Danio rerio: one gene and its partners. The protein of the gene in region 1 interacts with the protein of each later gene in a pairwise test. Links are inferred from orthologs where the notes say so. Each region holds a gene or a part of one and is shown in the gene's direction. Other genes may lie near its edges. The genes, in order: fez1, htt and pam16.

Evidence for each region.
Region 2: the proteins of fez1 (region 1) and htt interact in binary tests that used the Homo sapiens proteins (3 or more experiments, as listed by UniProt). The link is inferred for Danio rerio from reciprocal best matches to the Homo sapiens genes FEZ1 and HTT.
Region 3: the proteins of fez1 (region 1) and pam16 interact in a two-hybrid assay, tested with the Homo sapiens proteins (2 studies listed by BioGRID and IntAct). The link is inferred for Danio rerio from reciprocal best matches to the Homo sapiens genes FEZ1 and PAM16.

The regions. Positions count from the first base shown.
Region 1 is NC_133185.1:36,774,422-36,781,302, reverse strand, and holds the start of fez1 (fasciculation and elongation protein zeta-1), read left to right. Parts: upstream 1-2,635; 5' UTR 2,636-2,663; intron 2,664-6,881. UniProt on the Homo sapiens protein: May be involved in axonal outgrowth as component of the network of molecules that regulate cellular morphology and axon guidance machinery.
Region 2 is NC_133176.1:44,460,145-44,466,712, reverse strand, and holds the start of htt (huntingtin), read left to right. Parts: upstream 1-2,064; 5' UTR 2,065-2,358; coding exon 2,359-2,456; intron 2,457-6,568.
Region 3 is NC_133178.1:10,503,361-10,508,458, reverse strand, and holds part of pam16 (mitochondrial import inner membrane translocase subunit tim16), read left to right. Parts: intron 1-1,411; coding exon 1,412-1,548; intron 1,549-1,637; coding exon 1,638-1,703; intron 1,704-5,098. UniProt on the Homo sapiens protein: Regulates ATP-dependent protein translocation into the mitochondrial matrix. Inhibits DNAJC19 stimulation of HSPA9/Mortalin ATPase activity.

The DNA.
Region 1 (6,881 bases):
TAGGCCAGTTCTGTAGTATGTTACTGTATTTTAATGCATTGTGAAAATCACTGCTATACAGTAAAGATATACATACAATTCTTACATATACAGCAAGATAAATGGTGCTTTAAATGTAAATACAATATTTTTGCTGTAAATGATTTACAGTAGTTGCTGTAGATTCCATGGAAAATTGTTAACAGTGTATGTATGGCTTACACACTAAAAACTGTGGGTTGTTTAAACTTAATGTTGGATTAAATATTGACAAAACCAACTATTAGGTTAAAAAGTGTAATTAAATTTCATTGAAAAATTTGACTACACGTTGGGTTTGTCCATATTTGACCCAATGTTGGTGTACAACAACTGAGCGTTTTAGAGTGTATCATTCTATTATCTACACTGTAACTCTAGATTACACTACAAGATTATGATCATTATAATATGTAGCATTCAAATGTACATCTAAAAAATGATACTCATTTTGAGATAGAATAATGTTCCTTAAAAAATGTTGATAAACTATTTGATAAACTAATATTTTTTTAAAGATTAAGACAATTGAAGGTAATTTATTAGTATTGGCTTGTTGATGATGGCCAGAAACTTTAAATTTTGGTATTTGTGATGCAGCAAGCCCAGAGACTGTTGTGTACACCATAATTTTATGTAAAATTCCCTTTAATGGGTGATATGACTAAAAAGTGGGTGATATGTCATAAATGAATATTTTCCGAAACAGTATTTCATACGTCATGACTTAACAACCAAAAAATAATAATAATTATAAGAATAAGAATAAATGCACAATTAAATTTACAAAACATTCACCTAACAATGTTACTGATATAATGGAGAACTATGTAGTATTTAGCAATTTACTAAACTTACTAATTAAGTGTAAATTTTAATATTTAAATATATGCAATTTTACCTTTTTAACTTTGTGATATCAAATTTATCAATGACAAATTAGAAGCATTCATCAGTCTCCAACTTTTGGACCAAATTTGATATTTATTTCACATATGTTATTTTATGATAGTGAACTATATTCATGCAGTAGCTACATTTTATATATTTTCTATAGCGCTTTTACAATGCAGATTTAAAAACAGCTTAACACAGAAGTTCTAGTAAACTGAAAATGAAACTGTGTGAGTCCAGTTTTCAGAGTTAAAGTTCAATTTAGTTCAGTTCAGTGTGGGTTCATTTTCACTGCTGAAAGTCCAAACACTGAAGAGCAAATCCATGGATGCGCTGCTTCACCATTACCAAACCAAGCAAGCCAGTGGCAACAGGGGCAAGGAATAAACTTCACCTATTGCTGAAAGTTAAGGGGAAAAAAATCTTGAGAGAAACCATTTCTGCTCTGGCCAAACTTTTCATGCAGAGCTGCAGTCTAGGCGGCAGAGGAACCTGGAGACCTGAAGAACGCTGGATGCCCATCGTGGAGAAGCTGCAGATGCAAGAACTTCACCGGCAGGTGGTCAGGCTTACACACGGGATCAATGCAGAGACTCGTCGGTTACTGAGTCTCCACTCCTCCATGACCGTCACAGCATCTGCTCAAGATACAGCCTGGTCCAGGATTATGACACCTCAAAAAGTGTTCTGTGGTTGGCGTCATAAATGTGTTTTAATAAAAGAAAAATAAATAATAATGCTCAAGAATTTGCTTTCTGATGTAAGGTTAATATCTTAATATTTAAGGTTAATTGGCTTTCCATATCATTTTAATTTGGGTGCAGTACCCCATATTTCTGCAATGTGAAATTATTAGTTTCCAATGTAGGCATTTTTAACCACAAACAGCACAAGTTTTACATATTTTAGCACCATTTACCCTTTTAAACAATTAAATTAGAATTTTGTAGCATTCAGATATGGTAAGCGATCTACTTTTTTTGTTTAAAAATTATTAACCCACCAGAGGGTTAATAATATTACATAAGCTGTTCCACTAGTCATAAATGATTATAAAAACTACAATACATATATAAAATGCAAAAAATTATTACATTAATAAATAAATCATAATCGTTTCTGACTTTTTAGACCATGGCTATGCTATATAACCACTCTATACAGCCATACAATCCTGCCAGATTTATAGCCTTCATTTCAATAGCAAATGATTGACAGTAAGGAGCCGGCGTTCATGTTGTTAGGCCCAGCGTTCTCACTGAAAATCCCTTGAGCGTGCTTTGAGGCGTAATGAGAATAGATCCTGCCAGGAGACCCCCGATGTGGCTGATGACAAGCGGGTTCAAGGTGCGAATAAAGCCTTCGTACAGTTTTTTCTTTCCTCCATCCTCATGAATATGCAGGGATTTGGCTCCTGGCAGCGGGAGGGGAAAGTGGGCGGAGAGAGAGGTGCATGAGGAGAGCAGAAGGGGGAGGGGGAATCCATCCGTCAGTGCGCAGGCTCTGTGGAGGAGACGACAGGACGACTGCTGCTTAATGCTCAGAAAACAACACTCTGAGCCTCGGCTGGCTTAGACAAGACGCCGTGGACTAGAACAGGGAGCCGGGCGGCCATCACGACTCCAGCTTGCGTGTTTGTGATGGGAATGACTGTGTTCTTTCATCCTGACTGATGGTGGATTCACTCTGACTATATCGGAATAGGAGGGGCTTTTTTCAACCCAGATACAGAAGGAGAGATTCTTCTGCAGGTAATTTGTTCCTCCCTCTTTTTTTTCCTATCCTCCATCACTCCATCGTCTCCATCCTGCCATTGTTTTCCCATTATTCCCTTCAGGATTTATGGGGTAACCTTGATCTCTGTTCATTCTGCTTCCATCCATTTCTATTTTTTCTTCTTCTTTTTTCTTTCTGTGCAGATTTATTTCCAATTATTGATTTATTTTTAACATTTTATTTTAACATATTCCTTCTGTATTATTATTCCAAAATATGAATTTTTATCCATGTGGTGTTACCTAAAGATATGCTTGAAAAATTAGTCCACCAGATCTGATTCGGTGTGATGTTGTATTTCATCTCTGCCATGCTTTATGATGTGATCGGCCATATTTCTTCCCATCATGGCTTGTCAGTTCATCTTGTCTAATAACACGGCTGATATTGCACAACACAGGTCACACCGGCACTCAAAAAATTCATCTTACATTCACAAATAATTCTCAATTTCAGAAATACCTCTCACAGTTTTTTGTCTTATCATTATGAATGTGATGCACAATTCTGTGACGTCATCCTCAGTGGATGTCCCACAGCAAAAATAGTTCTATTCCATTGGTACAATTTGTGTTTCATCGATTGATTTGGGGTCAATATGCTATTTAAACTCCTGCTCAATTTCACACACCCATCCCCAGGAAATGTGAATAAGGGGAAGCGGTTTATCACTGTAACGTTGCATTAACAATAGTCCGATTTTTTTTATCTGGTTCTCATCATAGACGCAGACTAATGCATGGCAGACAAACAAATCAATGCGCATCCACAAAAACTAGGGAGTGGGAAAGGTCATAACAATAATTCTGACATGGCACAGACAGTGTTTTAGTGGAATGGCACTTTGCTGACTAATGTAATGTTGGGGTAAAAGCTTACGCAAGCCTGTTTTAAATGGATTTTGATCCTTTTACAGCCTGACTCTAAGCCTGATAAAGCCTTTGTGCTCATTCACAGCAACTGTCAGTTGACAGGACAAAAAAGGAGGTGTGAACTGTAATGGGTGGATGTTATATGTACCCCGAACTTGTTCATTTCAATGCATGAATCAATGCAATGCATTTTAAAGATTAAATCGATTCTTGGAAGTCATCTTGGCCTGATCAGAATGTAAATAGAGGTTGTTTTGGGAATCAGCCATGTAGATAAAATAACACCATAGTATTATGAAGGTGTTCATTCATTCATTTTCCTTTGGCTTAGTCCCTTTATTCATCAGGGGTCACCACAGCGGAATGAACTGCCAACTTATCCAGCATATGTTTAACACAGCGGATGCCCTTCCAGCTGCAACCCAGTACCGGAAAACATCCATACAACACTCATTCACACACATACACTACGGCAAATTTAGTTTATTCAATTCACCTACAGCGCAAGTCTTTCGACTGTCGGAGCACGTGGAGGAAAGCCATGCCAACACGGGAAGAACATGCAAATTCCACACAGAAATGCCAACTGATCTAGCGACCTTCTTGTTGTAAGGCTGATTAATGAGCAACCGTGAATCCAGTATTGTTTGGTGAATTAAATAATAATGCTTTAAAGACAAGATTTCCCTTTTTGAATGCATCACATGCACTGTATATTTACATAACAGTTTACACATATGTCAAAAATCTACTATGTTGCCAAAATAAAAAATTTGAATAAATGTTAAAATACAGGTAAGATAATGCTCCACTGTCATTCGGTGACATGACGTACCTATTCTGTGAGTAAATATAAATAAGCGATCGTATTTAATTATATTTTAAGTCAAGTTTATTTATAAACAAATTTCGAGAGGATCACGTGCTTGTGATTGTTCACAGCTGTTCCAACTTTAGCTAATGACTGATTATCCTATCAGACGATCCTTAACTCACTATAAATAACTAGACTTTTCTCATCTCAATACCTTTGTCTTGAAGAACCCCCCCCCCCCCCCCCCCCCCCCAACCCTACTTTCTCTCCTTTTAGCGCTGTTGCCTCACAGCAAGAATGCCCCTGGTTTAATTCCTTTCCAAACCAGACGGCATTTCTGTGCGGAGTTTGCTCGTTCTCCCCGTGGTCGCGTGGGTTTTCCCCGGGTCCTCCGGTTTCCTCCCACAGTTCAAAAACAAGCACTCTAAACAATTAATCCAAATACTTTAGCTATACTCTGCTAAAACAAGTAAGAGGGGGAGTCATTGAGATCTGCCTGAGCTCAAACTCCCCTCTCGCCTTGCAACGGGAGGGAGCCCAGGGCTCGAGGATCTTATAAGCTCAGGGCTCTCTCCCGGGACAGCACGCCAAACTAGCTTTATTATCAATCATCAGCTAAGTGTGAACTCTTGAAAAGACTAAAAGATTGACAAACAGGCAAGACCTTGAGTTTTTAAGGATAGATAGGAAACATTTAATTATTTACTTTTTATTTTTATTTCGAGGCTTCTTTGTGAGCCTTAAATAAAGTCTTTTAATATGAAAGCAGATAATACTTGTTCTAAATATGCATAAAATATTTGGTATATAAGCAAGTTATACTTCTCTTACTTTTTTTACTCCTACTTACACTGTCTACTGTGAATAATTGTAATTATTTAAATTAAATAAACATATTTAAATAATGGTGCTCAATATTTATTTATTTGATTTTAAAAAAATAAAGTAAAAAATGTAAAGATGTATTACACTTATTATTTTACTGCTGGAAAACCAATTTTCTTTGACCTTCATGCATTAAATCAATATAGAGTTTTATAAAGCACTAATGGCTGCAGAGAAAATGCTAATGCTAATGTACTTTCTCGTTGACTCTTTTTCATTTGTTTTAGAGAGTGAATCTGAATGAGCACCAGCTATAATTGCTGTCTGACTTTGGCTACAGCACAGTCCCAGTATTTATTGGGGAAAACTCCCAGAGGTTCTGCTGAATCAACCGTTACCCAGATTAAACACAATTACTTTCAGTCTTCTTGAGCGAAATGCAGTCACTGGTGCTCCACGCTTGCTTAGTGGAAGAGAACGAAATTAATTTAATGAGATGTCATCTGAGAGAAACCCTATTTTATAGTCTAAATATTCATAGTTGATAAGCTTCACAAAATGTTCCTGCTTCTGAGGCAGTCACTGTTATATAACTCATACTGCTCATACTTATATAACTCAATATAAACATATTTAAATTCATTTTCAGCTGTTTAAGAGAAGTGAGCTTTGTTTGAGTATGGCATTTATTTTGAGGTATTGAATATGGAACCAGATCAGTTTAAAAAATAATTCATTTACAAAATAAGATTCATACTCAATTCACATTTATTTTGTTAATTCAAAACATGTTTAATAGTGGTAATTATTTAAAAATGTCTTTAAATATTTATGACTTATATGCTCAGAAAAAAACATGCAAACATGTATTACACTTATTATTGTACTGCTTGAAAACCACTTTTTCTGACCTTTATGTATTAAATCAATAAATCAATCAAAAGAAAATTCAGTAATACGCAAATCCAATTCGTAAATTTAAAAGACAATTCATAAATATGCAAATCAAATTAATAAATTAGAAGATAATTCATAAATATGCAAATCCAATTCATAAATTCAAAACACAATTCATAAATAAGCAAATCAAGTTAGTAAATTCAAAAGACAATTCAAAAATACATAAATCTAATTCATAAATTTAAAACACAACTCATAAATATGCAAATCCAATTCGTAAATTCTAAACAAATTCATAAATATGCATATCCAATTCGTAAAATCAAAACACAACTCATAAATATGCAAATCGGTCCGTGTACGTTGCGTTCATTCGATTTTTGATCTTAAACGAAATTTAAAAAACGAGGAAACGGCCGTTTTTCGTTTTTTTATTTGGCTACAAAAAAATTAAATAACTGATTTTGGCTCGATTTTCTTTTTTTGGTTTAGGGTAGGAAAACGGATAAATGACTTTAAAATTCATTATCCACATGTAGGCGGTTCTGAAACGCCCATTTCCTCTGATTGGTCAATCAAATCTGGGCTCCTGACGTCGCCTTCAAAATAACAGTCCTGTAGTCTTCGTCCTCTGCGGATCAGCACACAGGCATTTAATATATTATATTTAATATATAATATATTAGCAGTATTATTAGACATTTATCATTACAATTTATCATTACTATTATAGTTCGCCGCCAAATTTGCTGCTATGCACCTGATACTGAGCAAAAGATTTG
Region 2 (6,568 bases), on another chromosome or scaffold:
TTTTTAATTGATTGATAATGTCTTGATTTTTATTATTATATTTGTCTTTTTTATTCTGTTGTGATAACAAGCTAGTGGCTCAACAATTGAATGTAACACATGTACTCTTCTAAGGATGTATGGCAGGATGGAGCAACTTTTCCTCGCATCTTTATTGTGCCTCTGCTGTGATGCTGTCATGGAATGTGAGCAGACACAGCTGTGCTGAGATTGGAGATCATAAACAGTCCAGATGAGCAGGTGAGTGTGGCTGCAAAATAACAATAATCTTTATTAAACAAATCGGCTTATTACCGAGATTCAAATAAAAAAATTAAAAATTGAATCCAAATTTAGGATTATGGCATTTATTTCTCTTCACCCACTATCACATGTGGGTTGCTACAGGAATTTGTGACTAATCTTCAAATGAGTCATGTATGGATTGGCCTCACTGGGAATGCCACTGAGGGAGTGTGGAAATGGGTGGATAACACTGAACCGATCCTAGAGTGAGAAAAAAAATACTATGTTTTGTTTTTGAAAGAGCAAATATTTCTCCAAAGTTAAAAAAAAAATGTTTATTTACAGTGTATATGCAGTATATATTTATCCAATTTGAAATTGTTTTTTTTCAGGTACTGGATAACAAGCAAGCCTTATAGTGTGGATGGATCTGAAGTTTGTGTGGAGATTAGGCCTGAGCAGCCAAGCCTAAAAAATTGGAATTACATTCAGTGTGAAGAATTTAAACATTATAACATTTGTGAATATGAATATTAAATGTTTATTTTATTTGAATCGCCTTACCATTGCTTGTGGCTGAGAAATATGAATTAGCAGACAAATGAATTGATCTAATTTCAATTAATTAATTAATTGCTTTTTTGCTTCCATTTTCTGTAATGTTCTCTAATATAGTTGTAAAAATTTGATTTCTGAAAATTCTAAAGACATTCACAATGTCAAGTTTTTAGATGATATATGAACATTCTTTAAAAAGTAATATATTACAGCGTTATTTTACAGTGTAGAAAGTTCAATAATCAGGTTATAAAAGATGCACTTTTTAAAGTATGTGACAGTACATTTCATGTTGATCAATACTCGAGATGCTCGCGGGCCAAAGTTGGCCCATGGTAATCTTTGATTTGACCTACCATCCCATCTGAGAATAGAGGAAACATGATGGGATGCTTTTGAGATTGTCCATTCAAATTTAATGCAACCCTTTGTTTGTTTGTTTGTCTTATTTTTAAAAGTTATTTTTGAACTCCACTGTGTTATAAATGCGATTGTTTGTTTGTTATTACAATAAGTTATCATTAAAAAAGTTATAACTGCATCAATACAATTAAGATAATAATTAATAATAATACTACTAATAAAATAATAAAAATTATAATATAATAATTAATAGAATTTAAAGAATTGTTTTATTTATTTTAAAATAAAGTGAAATAAGTTAGGAAATTACCCATGCCAACTTTAATGTAATATAGTTGGGTATTTACCTTTGGCCCACAGCTCTCAATGATATTTGGTTTTTGGCCCTTCATATGAACCAGTTTGGGCACCCCTGATCCACATGGTTGCACATATTTAAATCTGACATAACATTTATAATTACCAGCCATTAATTTAATATTATTAGAATATGTATTTTGTGTGATTTAAAAACAATATAATCTGTGTTAAAGCAACCTATAGTTTTATTTAATTTGTTTGTTTTGCTTGTTTAGATGTCTTCACAATTACAGTAAATGTATAAAGTGTATTAATTTTCCAGAAACTAGCTGTCCTTTTTACACGTACAATAGGGTATATTTGCCAATATATTTGTATACACAACAATAACACATGTTCGTTTCGTCAGAAATATTACATCAAATTTTAAATTATCAAAACAAACACAAAAAAAAGTTTAGTAATTGATCAAGAACATTATCAGTCGGTCTGGCGGAAGACTTGCATCACAATCAAGCTAAGCAAGCTGTAGATGCAGACATTCGCCATTGATTTTATTATGAATTAGAGGACTTCAATTTTGACAGGAGTTTTATTAACCCGGAAATACAGCAGAACAGTTGCTCTCCTAACCCAGCTTTAAGATGGCTTTCGGAACTGGACGTGCTATCAACTACCTTCAGAGCATATTGTTTGAACAATGGTCCTAATCGGATGGTGTGCGGAAATTAGACCGGACTTGAAGGGCTTTTGTCCTCCGTGAGGGGGTGTCCGTCTCGACGACACCGTCAGTTTCCCTTCGGCATTCTGCACAGCGCTCGTTACCAGTCTGTGACACTGGCTGTCGTTTTCAGTTTGTAAATATTACCCTATCTCCGATCAGATTATATCTTCATCACAGCTTCTGTTAAAATGGCCACCATGGAGAAGCTAATGAAAGCGTTTGAGTCGCTAAAATCATTCCAGCAGCAGCAAGGCCCGCTGTCGGCCGAGGAGCTCGTCCAGAAACAGTGAGTGCTGAACTGATGTTAATGCTGTTTAACGCTTTGTTGCAGTAATAGCCCTCTGCTTCATCATCATGATCATCATCTTCATAATTAGGGCGCTGACATCACTTGACACCGTGGCCATGCTAATGTTATTATCACAACATGCATAAGTGCAGTGTTGTCTTTTCATAAGGCTGACTATTGTTGTTGTTGTCTTGGGTTTTTAATCACATGATGCTCAACACCATAGATGTGTCACAGAGCCTTGTTAGATTCTGCGTCAGTGCTGAGATCAGACACTGCGCACTCCTCAAGAACTGGCTTCAGGACTTCTGATGTCCAAGAGTGTTGTGGTGTAAAACAATTACACTGAATGAATCTGTTTATTTGTGTTTGAATGCTGCCATCTTCTGAATTTTTATTCTGACTTCCCACAACTGCTTGTCTTCGTCTGTCACTAAACATCATTAGATAAACAATACTGTCATATATGACGTACAGCTCAAACACACACTCAAAAATAGTCTTTAGTATCCAAATATTGAAAATGTAAGATGTGTCATTGTGCCTTCCCTTTACTCATAAACATCTCATAAATATCTGCTTTGGCATGTTTACTTTGATGCCATATTAAAGTATAATATTTAAGGTTCGCAGAGCATTCCCAAAAATATAATGTATATTTATATTTTGGTCATGCACTGTGTTAAGGACAGATATTTGAACCACTATTATACATGTACGTCTATATGTACATTACCGGTTTTTTACATATAGACTTTGGGGTTCTTTTTATGTTTTTATTTTTTTTAATAAAATTATTCTGTTCATCATCAAATGTAAAAAAAAAATGTAAACACTTATTTAAATATTTATTTATTACTTGAAGTTTATTAAATGAAGTTATCACTCCAGTAATTATTGCTTTTTACAATAATAATTAATATTAGAGTGATTTCTGATTGATTATGGGACTATTGGAGTAATGAAGCTGAAAATTCATCTTTAATATCACAGAAATAAACTATTAAATTAAATGATACACTACTTTTGAACAGTTATTTCATAGTGCAGTAACATTTCACAATTTTCACTGTATTTTTGATGAATTATTAACCCCCCTGAATTATTAGCCCCCGTTTATTTTTTCCCCAATTTCTGTTTAACAGAGAGAAGATTTTTTGAACACATCTCTAAACATAATCGTTTTAATAACTCGTTTCTAATAACTGATTTATTTTATCTTTGTCATGATGACAGTAAATAATATTTGACTAGATATTTTTCAAGACACTTCTATACAGCTTAAAGTGATAGTAGTGTATGTATTCTTACCTGTGTGTGTGTGTGTGTGTGTGTGTGTGTGTGTGTGTGTGTGTGTGTGTGTGTGTGTGTGTCTGTCTGTGTGATTCTGAATGACAATGTAATTTGGACATTTGCACAAAAGTTATTTTAAACATGAAAGTTTTCGTCGCTTTGCTTGCATTTATTATTCTGCTTTGTGTATTTCAAATCATGTTTAATTATTGTAACTAAAATGGGTCTCAAAAAGTATTAGACGTTGTTTGAAAGTTTGGGATGCTGTGTAGTTTGTGAAATTGATTAAACCCTACTAAGTTGGATGTCACACTGCTTTGCTTAGTGCAGTAACCAAGGCAGCACCATTATTTCTGCTGTTCTATAGGCGAAACTGACTGGATTAACATTTTAATAAAGTATATGAATAATGTTCTAGTTTAGGATTAGTTTCTTTCAATCATTATTTAGTAAATATATTTTTAAAATGTCACCAATGTTACCTGTTCAGAACTAAAGTGGCGATGAGGTCTTAATAGAAAGATTCTAAAAAAAGTCTTAAAAGTATTAAATTTTACCCTTTGACTCCTGTATATACCCTGTTGTAGTCTATTTGATAATTTTATATATTGTAAATGAATGAATGAATTATGGAAATATTATATTGGATAATCCTACAGTACATATATTATTAATATAGATAATCCTAGCTAGGGCTGCACAATATATCGTTTCAGCATCGGTATTGCAATGTGATCATTACCAATAGTCACATCGCATGATATATGTAATGTTGAGTTTATGATATAATTGATCGTTTGCACGTGATTAATGATTTTAAAAACATTCAGGCATAAAAATTGTACCATTTGTGACTTTAACAATGATTTATTTTATTGAGTTATTTTTGTTTTTATCATTCAGTTACTGTACTTAAATACTATTAGACTCAAGGAAACGATAAAACACTTTATTTTTGTTCTATCTTTTTAAAAATTGTATTTATATATTGTTATGCATGAAAATAACAACATATGCAAATACACAATTGTACCGCTAATAGCACAGCCCACAGTGAAAATGTGTTGGGGGACCCCAAAAGTCTATAGATTGTTTATTAGATTTTATGAAGATGCAAATAGTAAACACAAATTCATCAATTTCTGACAAAACACGTACATGCAAATACAGAAAAACATTGCAAATAGCTCAGACCACAATGAAAATGTATTGTCTATTAGATTTTATGGAGATGCACTCTCAAAGCAGAATCATCCCAATCAATCTAACATGATAAATCCTTTCCAAATATAGATATTACGTCATCTGGTGAAATTGTATTCTTATCACAGTACATCACAAAGTAAAAAAAAAAAAAAAAAAAATTTATATATATATATATATATATATATATATATATATATATATATATATATATATATATATATATATATATATATATATATATATATATATATATATCGCAATTCTAGATTTTTCCAATAACGTGCAGCCCTAATCCTAGCAAGTTTTCATCTATTGATTTGTCCACGCACAATCATGCTGAATGTCTTGAAATTACAGTATTTTGAATAGTAAATGTATTGAATGCAAAAGCCAGCTAGATTTTAAGTTGAATAAATATTTGAGGATTTATGACTCGTGGTCAGAGTACAGTCTTTATCGAGTGATAATGTGAAATTGCAGTTTTAATAAAAATAAAATCGAATAGTCTAGCCAGCATCTCACATTTGATTTAAAGTAGAAATATGTTAAAATGTTCATTTAAAGTAGGCATGTCACAATATCAAATTTTTGTTGTGATATATTGCACCAAAATATAGTGTGATTAACGAAATTATTGTCATTTTAAGACCATTTTATGTCACTCATTATAAGGGATGGCGCGGGATAAGATTCTGACGGTATGATAACCTTGGTTAAAAATCTCACAATATTGTAATTATTTCTCTAAAATATGTTTTTTTTTTAAATGTCTGGGTAAAAACAACTTTTTTCCCCCTATTGAACACAATATTTTTTATTATAAAAAACATTTCAAATATTTTTGAACAGTAACTATTAATGTGGAGGGTCTCTTTCTGCTGGAGATACTGTTGCTGATACTGTAAAAACACATACACAACCCCCCACCCCCAAACAAACAACAAAACAAAATATACCGTTAGAACAGTATAACAGCAAATGTTGACAGTTTTAAAACCTTGACTTTTCTAAACCAGTGATCGACTCATGCCTACACATTATATAAGGCCAGAATGACAATATACTATAATATTGTCCAAATACGATGCAAGTGCATTCTTCCAAAGAACACATATTTTATTCTGAAGAGTATTTCATTTAATTATAGTCATTTTAGTAATTTAATGATTAGGCATTGGAATCAGAATGTGAAAATATAAATATATACAAAACAAATAAATAATATTGTGAATAAATGTAACAAAAAGTGCAAGGTAAAAAGCTACAGAAGCTGCAATATCTGCTATCAGATCTATTTTCAGTTGTCAGGCACCCACATGAAAATATACAGTAATTTATAGTAAATACTGTAGTGTTGTTTTTAACCATACTGACACCTCCAATAGAGATGGAGATGTTCCACAATCAGCTGAATTGTTGCTGAAATATATTTTTTATTGTACGGGCGATATATATTGCATCACTAAAAATGATGTCATGTCCATGTGTTGTGCGATAAGTCGATATATTGATTATTGTGACAGACTAATATAAAGTTGTTGTTTTCTTGAAATCTTGATAACTTTTCAAACCATATTTAGCACAATGCAAGAGCTCCATGTTATCATCTT
Region 3 (5,098 bases), on another chromosome or scaffold:
TCCTAAATGATGTTTAACAGTGCGAGGAAATGTTCACAGGATGTCTGATAATATTTATTTTTTTTCTGGAGAAAGTCTTATTTGTTTTATTTCGGCTAGAATAAAAGCAGTTTTAGATTATTAAAAAAAAAAAACATTTTAAGGACAAAATTATCCGCTTGTTAAGTGGTGACGTGTTTGTGACGTATGTAATACTGTTTCCGGGTCCAAGCCACCATTCATTTGACCACTCGTTTATGATCACGTTTTATTCATATCACACATTAAAGTTAATTTTATATAAAGTCATAGTGTACACAACAATCTCTGGGCTTGCTGCATAACAAATACCAAAAATTTAACAATTTATAAAAAAATAATCACTTTCTGGCCATCGGATACTAGACATGGACATATATACTGCGATCGTGATTTTCGAAAGCCTTTAATCGCTTTGTAAACGTTTATTGTTACCATTTCATGAGTCTCCCCTTTCAATTGAAAAGAGCGCTTGGACCCGGAAGCCGCTTCGCGTGACGTCACACTTAACAAGCGGATTAGCCTCTTTAAGCTATATTTTTTGTGATAGTCTACAGAACGAACCATCATTATACAATGACTTGCCTACTTACCCAAACTTGGCTAGTTAACCTAATTAACCTACTGTAATTAACCCTTTAAATGTCACTTATAGAAGTGTCTTGAAAAATATCTAGTCAAATATTATTTACTGTCATCATGGCAAAGATAAAATAAATCAATTATTAGAGATGAGTTATTAAAACTATTATGTTTAGAAATGTGTTGGAAAAATCTGCTCTCCATTAAACAGAAATTGAGATTTTATATTTTTATTTAATAATCTACATGTTTATTTATATTTTTGTATTTATATGGAATTAATTTTTATAGTTATTCATTAGTTATGTAATATTGATAAAATAAATATTCTGTGTTTTTTTTTATCGAACCAATTGAAATAAAAGATTGTTAATAACTATTATAACACTTATTGCTTTTTCACCTTGTTTAGTATATGTGTTTGTTTATATTAAGTCAGTATTTGCAAGGAGAAACAATTAAATAATATTTTATGTTGCATTATGTTCTTTTAGGTATCATTTTAAATCACTACGATTAACATATTAATCACTATAAATATATTATTAATAACATATTAATAATTTATGTCATTATATAATATTTACTATTTTATTAAACTCATTGCATGCATGAAGTAAACGACATTTTAACAATACACTTTAACATCAAACTTTAAACTGAATGCTAGTATCTTGCAAAATATTATGTACTGTCATCACAGAAAAGACCCTATACATTGTTTATGTATAATGCACACACATTGGCCAGACCTAATCCTAATAGATGAGTGATGTTATTAATCAGGTGTGTGTTTGTGTGTGTGAATCAGCCAGTCAGGCGGCTGCGGAGGCTCGAGGTCAAGCGGGCAGACAGTCTGCGGCGGCGTCCAGTTTCACAGGAATGACCTTACAGGAAGCCCAGCAGATACTTAACATCTCCACACTAACGCCAGAGGAGATCCAGAAGGTCAAACAAATTCACCAGCACACAAACATCACAGTGTTCCCACTCCGAGTAAATATGATATTAACTTTGTGCTTTCATTCTCTTTTCAGAATTATGAGCACTTATTTAAAGTCAATGACAAAGCTGTCGGCGGTTCTTTCTATATTCAGTCGAAGGTAAGAGATGACGCTGACAAAATCAACTGTGACTACAAAACCAGTCTTGTATATTTTTGGTTGTAACTGAAAATACATTATATGCATCAAAATTATACATTTTCTGTACTTTTATGCCAAAAAGTCATTAGAAGGTTTAGTACAGATCATGTTCTGTGATGATATTTGGTTAATTTCGTACTGTTAATTTTCCTGTGTCTTAAGTGTAAAAGTAGCATACAGAGGAAAAGAAAAACCAACAAGAAAATAAAGAAGAAAATGTGTTTGTGTGAACGGGTTTACATGAATTAAAGCTGTTACATAACAGAGACTAAATACATCAAATCAATAAGGGTATATGTGTCCTTAAAAAGCTTGTCATAATGTATCAAAGATTTGCGCCTTTTTTGTCTGTTTGTTTTTGGTTTAGGAGAGAAAAACAAATGAGTCAAATTCGGCAAGAAAAATGGGAAAAACAAAAGAAAATTTAAGCCATTTCTGCTTATGAATAAAATAATTTTCAAAGTCACTTTAAGGGTGCTTTCACACCTGTGAATCGATTCCGTTGTTCCGAAACAGAGATTACAAATGTTACAATGTTGCTCTTTGCTCTTGGAGCGGTTCGCTTTCACACTGCAAAGTTTCTAATCGGGCCAAAAGAGATAAAACAAGTCACGTGCGAGTAAACTCTCCTTACATTGGTCAGAGTGTCAGGGTTTATTTTGCAGAGTCCTGCTCAGCTGTCAGGAGAGGTGGTGGTTTGGTGGTGTTTGACAAGGTGCATGCGTCGTGTTTGAAGAGCGAGGAGAGATGCGGTGGGGAGGGGTGAGAAGGGTGCGCCACGTAGCTTATTTGAGGACCGGGAGTGAGACGCAACCTTATCGGGAGATTATCATTAGTTTGCGGGCATCCGGAGACTCGCGTAACTTCCCGCCCTACTCATAATTCTCTCTTCATATAGCTGTAAGCCTATTACATATCCATAAACACAGTGATATAACCGCGCTCTGATCGGATCACTTTCTCACTGCAATCGATCCGCTCCAGAGTTCATTTCAATCGAGCCGAGACCACCTCATTCAAGCGATCTCGGAGCGATTGATTTGGCGCGGATCCGAGAGCGATTGGTGGTTTCACATATGCCAAGCGAACCGCGCTAACTGGGCAAACGTGACAGCTTCTGAAACAAAAGTGTAGGTGTGAAAGCACCCTAAGCGGTATAGAAGTGTCTTGAAAAATATTATTTACGTTCATGTTTATGTTGCAAAGTCAGTTTGATGTACAGCTTGCATCGCATTATCAAACTTTTCATGTAGACATCTTGGAGTGAAAACATAGACTGAACTTGAAGCCGATGGTGACCTGGTCTGATAAACTCACTGCACTGCGTGACATCCTCTCGGAACCGCGGATGGCCATGGCGTGACCGTAGTATAAACTCGCAAGTCTTCCTCGATTTCAGCCATCATTCGAACATAAGCGCCTGTGCTCTAACCGAAAGCAGGAGACGCGTCTCTATGACAACCTCCTGCGACACAATCTCTTCAATGCGGCACCTCACAAAATTTGCTAACAAGTCATATGAATGATATTTATTATCATTTGACAGTAACGGAGGAGCGTTTTCTCTAATAATTTACTTGAGTAAGAGTAAAAGTACAGTTTTAAATGAAGTCAAAAAGTACACATTACCCTACAATTGTACTCAAGTAAATGTAATGAAGTCAATGTAATTCGTTACTCCCCACCTATATATAGAGATATAATTCTACATCCCTAATCCTACCCAATACCTAAACCCAACTACTACCTTGCTACCTTTTAATAAAGCTGCCAATTTGTAGTTTGAGCTAAAAGTCTTAGCTAGTGATTTGTCGATGATTTGTCAATAGATTGAATTGTACATTAACGTGTCACCGAGTTGTCTTCAAATCTGAGCGGTCTGAGAAAAGAGATCTTCATTTGACCGCAGCTGAGGATTATGCTGATCAGTAAAAGCCCAGACCAACATATCCATTGTGTCAGCAGTCTACATTTCACACAATGTTTCCTCCACCTAAGGCTAGGTCATGTTAATGTGACCCGCGAACAACAGCAGGTGAAGTTCTGAGAAGAGGCGCGTTGTGGTTTTGACACCCTTCGAGCAAAAACAGCAGAGCAACACTTTACAAACAGCTGCTGTTGGGAAGAAGATCTAAGAAAGACACGCATATGACGTCTTCTAAATGTCAATCTAAAGAATAATTGAAAGATCTTATCCAACATTTAAGCTATGCATTATGGATGGTTTAAAAGACATGATCTTAGAACATGATCTTGTTTGCTTATTATTTTTTGTAATCGTTTTTTATTTGTTTTTGTTTGTTTTATCTGCATTTTTTGTTTGTATTTTATTAATTCGTTTTTTGTTTGTTTGTTTGTATTTATTTATTTGTTTGCTTTTTTGTTTTTTAATTTTATTCATTGTTTTTGTTTGTTAATTTAATTGTTTTTTGTTTATTTATTGATTTGTTTTTCATTTATTTTAGTTTTTTATACATTTTAGTAGTGTTTTTATTTGTTATTCACTTTTATGTTTTTGTTTGTTTTGTCTGTTTTTTGTTTGTATTTTATTTATCTGTTTTTTGTATTTGTGTTTGTTTGTTTTTATTTGTTTGAGTTTCGTTTTTATTTATTGATTTTATTAGTTTTTTTGTTTGCTTATTTGTGATTGTTTTTTACTTTTTATTTATTTGTTTGTTTCCTTTTTTATTTATTTTTTGTATGTTTTTTTATGTTTTGTTTGTATTTCTTTTTGTTTGGTTTTATTTGTTTTTGTTTGTGTGTTTTTTATATGTTTTTTGTTTGTTTTTTATTTATTTGTTTTTATTTGTATTTTCTGTTTTGTTTGGTTTTATGTTTTTTGTTGCTTGTGTGATTTTATTTTTATTTATTAGTTTTTGTTTGTGTAATTTTTTTAATAATTTGTTTGTTTTTTGTTTGTTATTTTATCAGTTTTTGTTTGTTTTTTATTTGTTTTTTGTTTGCATTTTTTTATTTTGTTAGTTTTTATTTTTCCTGTTTGTGTGTTTGTTTGTTTTATTTGATTTTCTTTGTTTATTATTATTTTTTAATGTATATTTATTTTTCTACATAATTTAAATGTTTATAGATGCAACTGGGGAATTGGTTTGCAGGGTTACTAAAAAAAGAAAAAACGGTATGCGTCATGGCTAACATGTCTCCTCAATAAAAACACTTTAATTCATTCAATAACACCGGATGAATAAAAACAAAACTTTACATTAAGCATAAAAAAAACATTTTTACATAAAAAATAACATAAGCTAAAGAAAAATAATCTGATAAAAAGTACATTCACTATCATAAAGAATCATTATGATGAGTAATAAATAAATTATAAATGAATTTAGAGA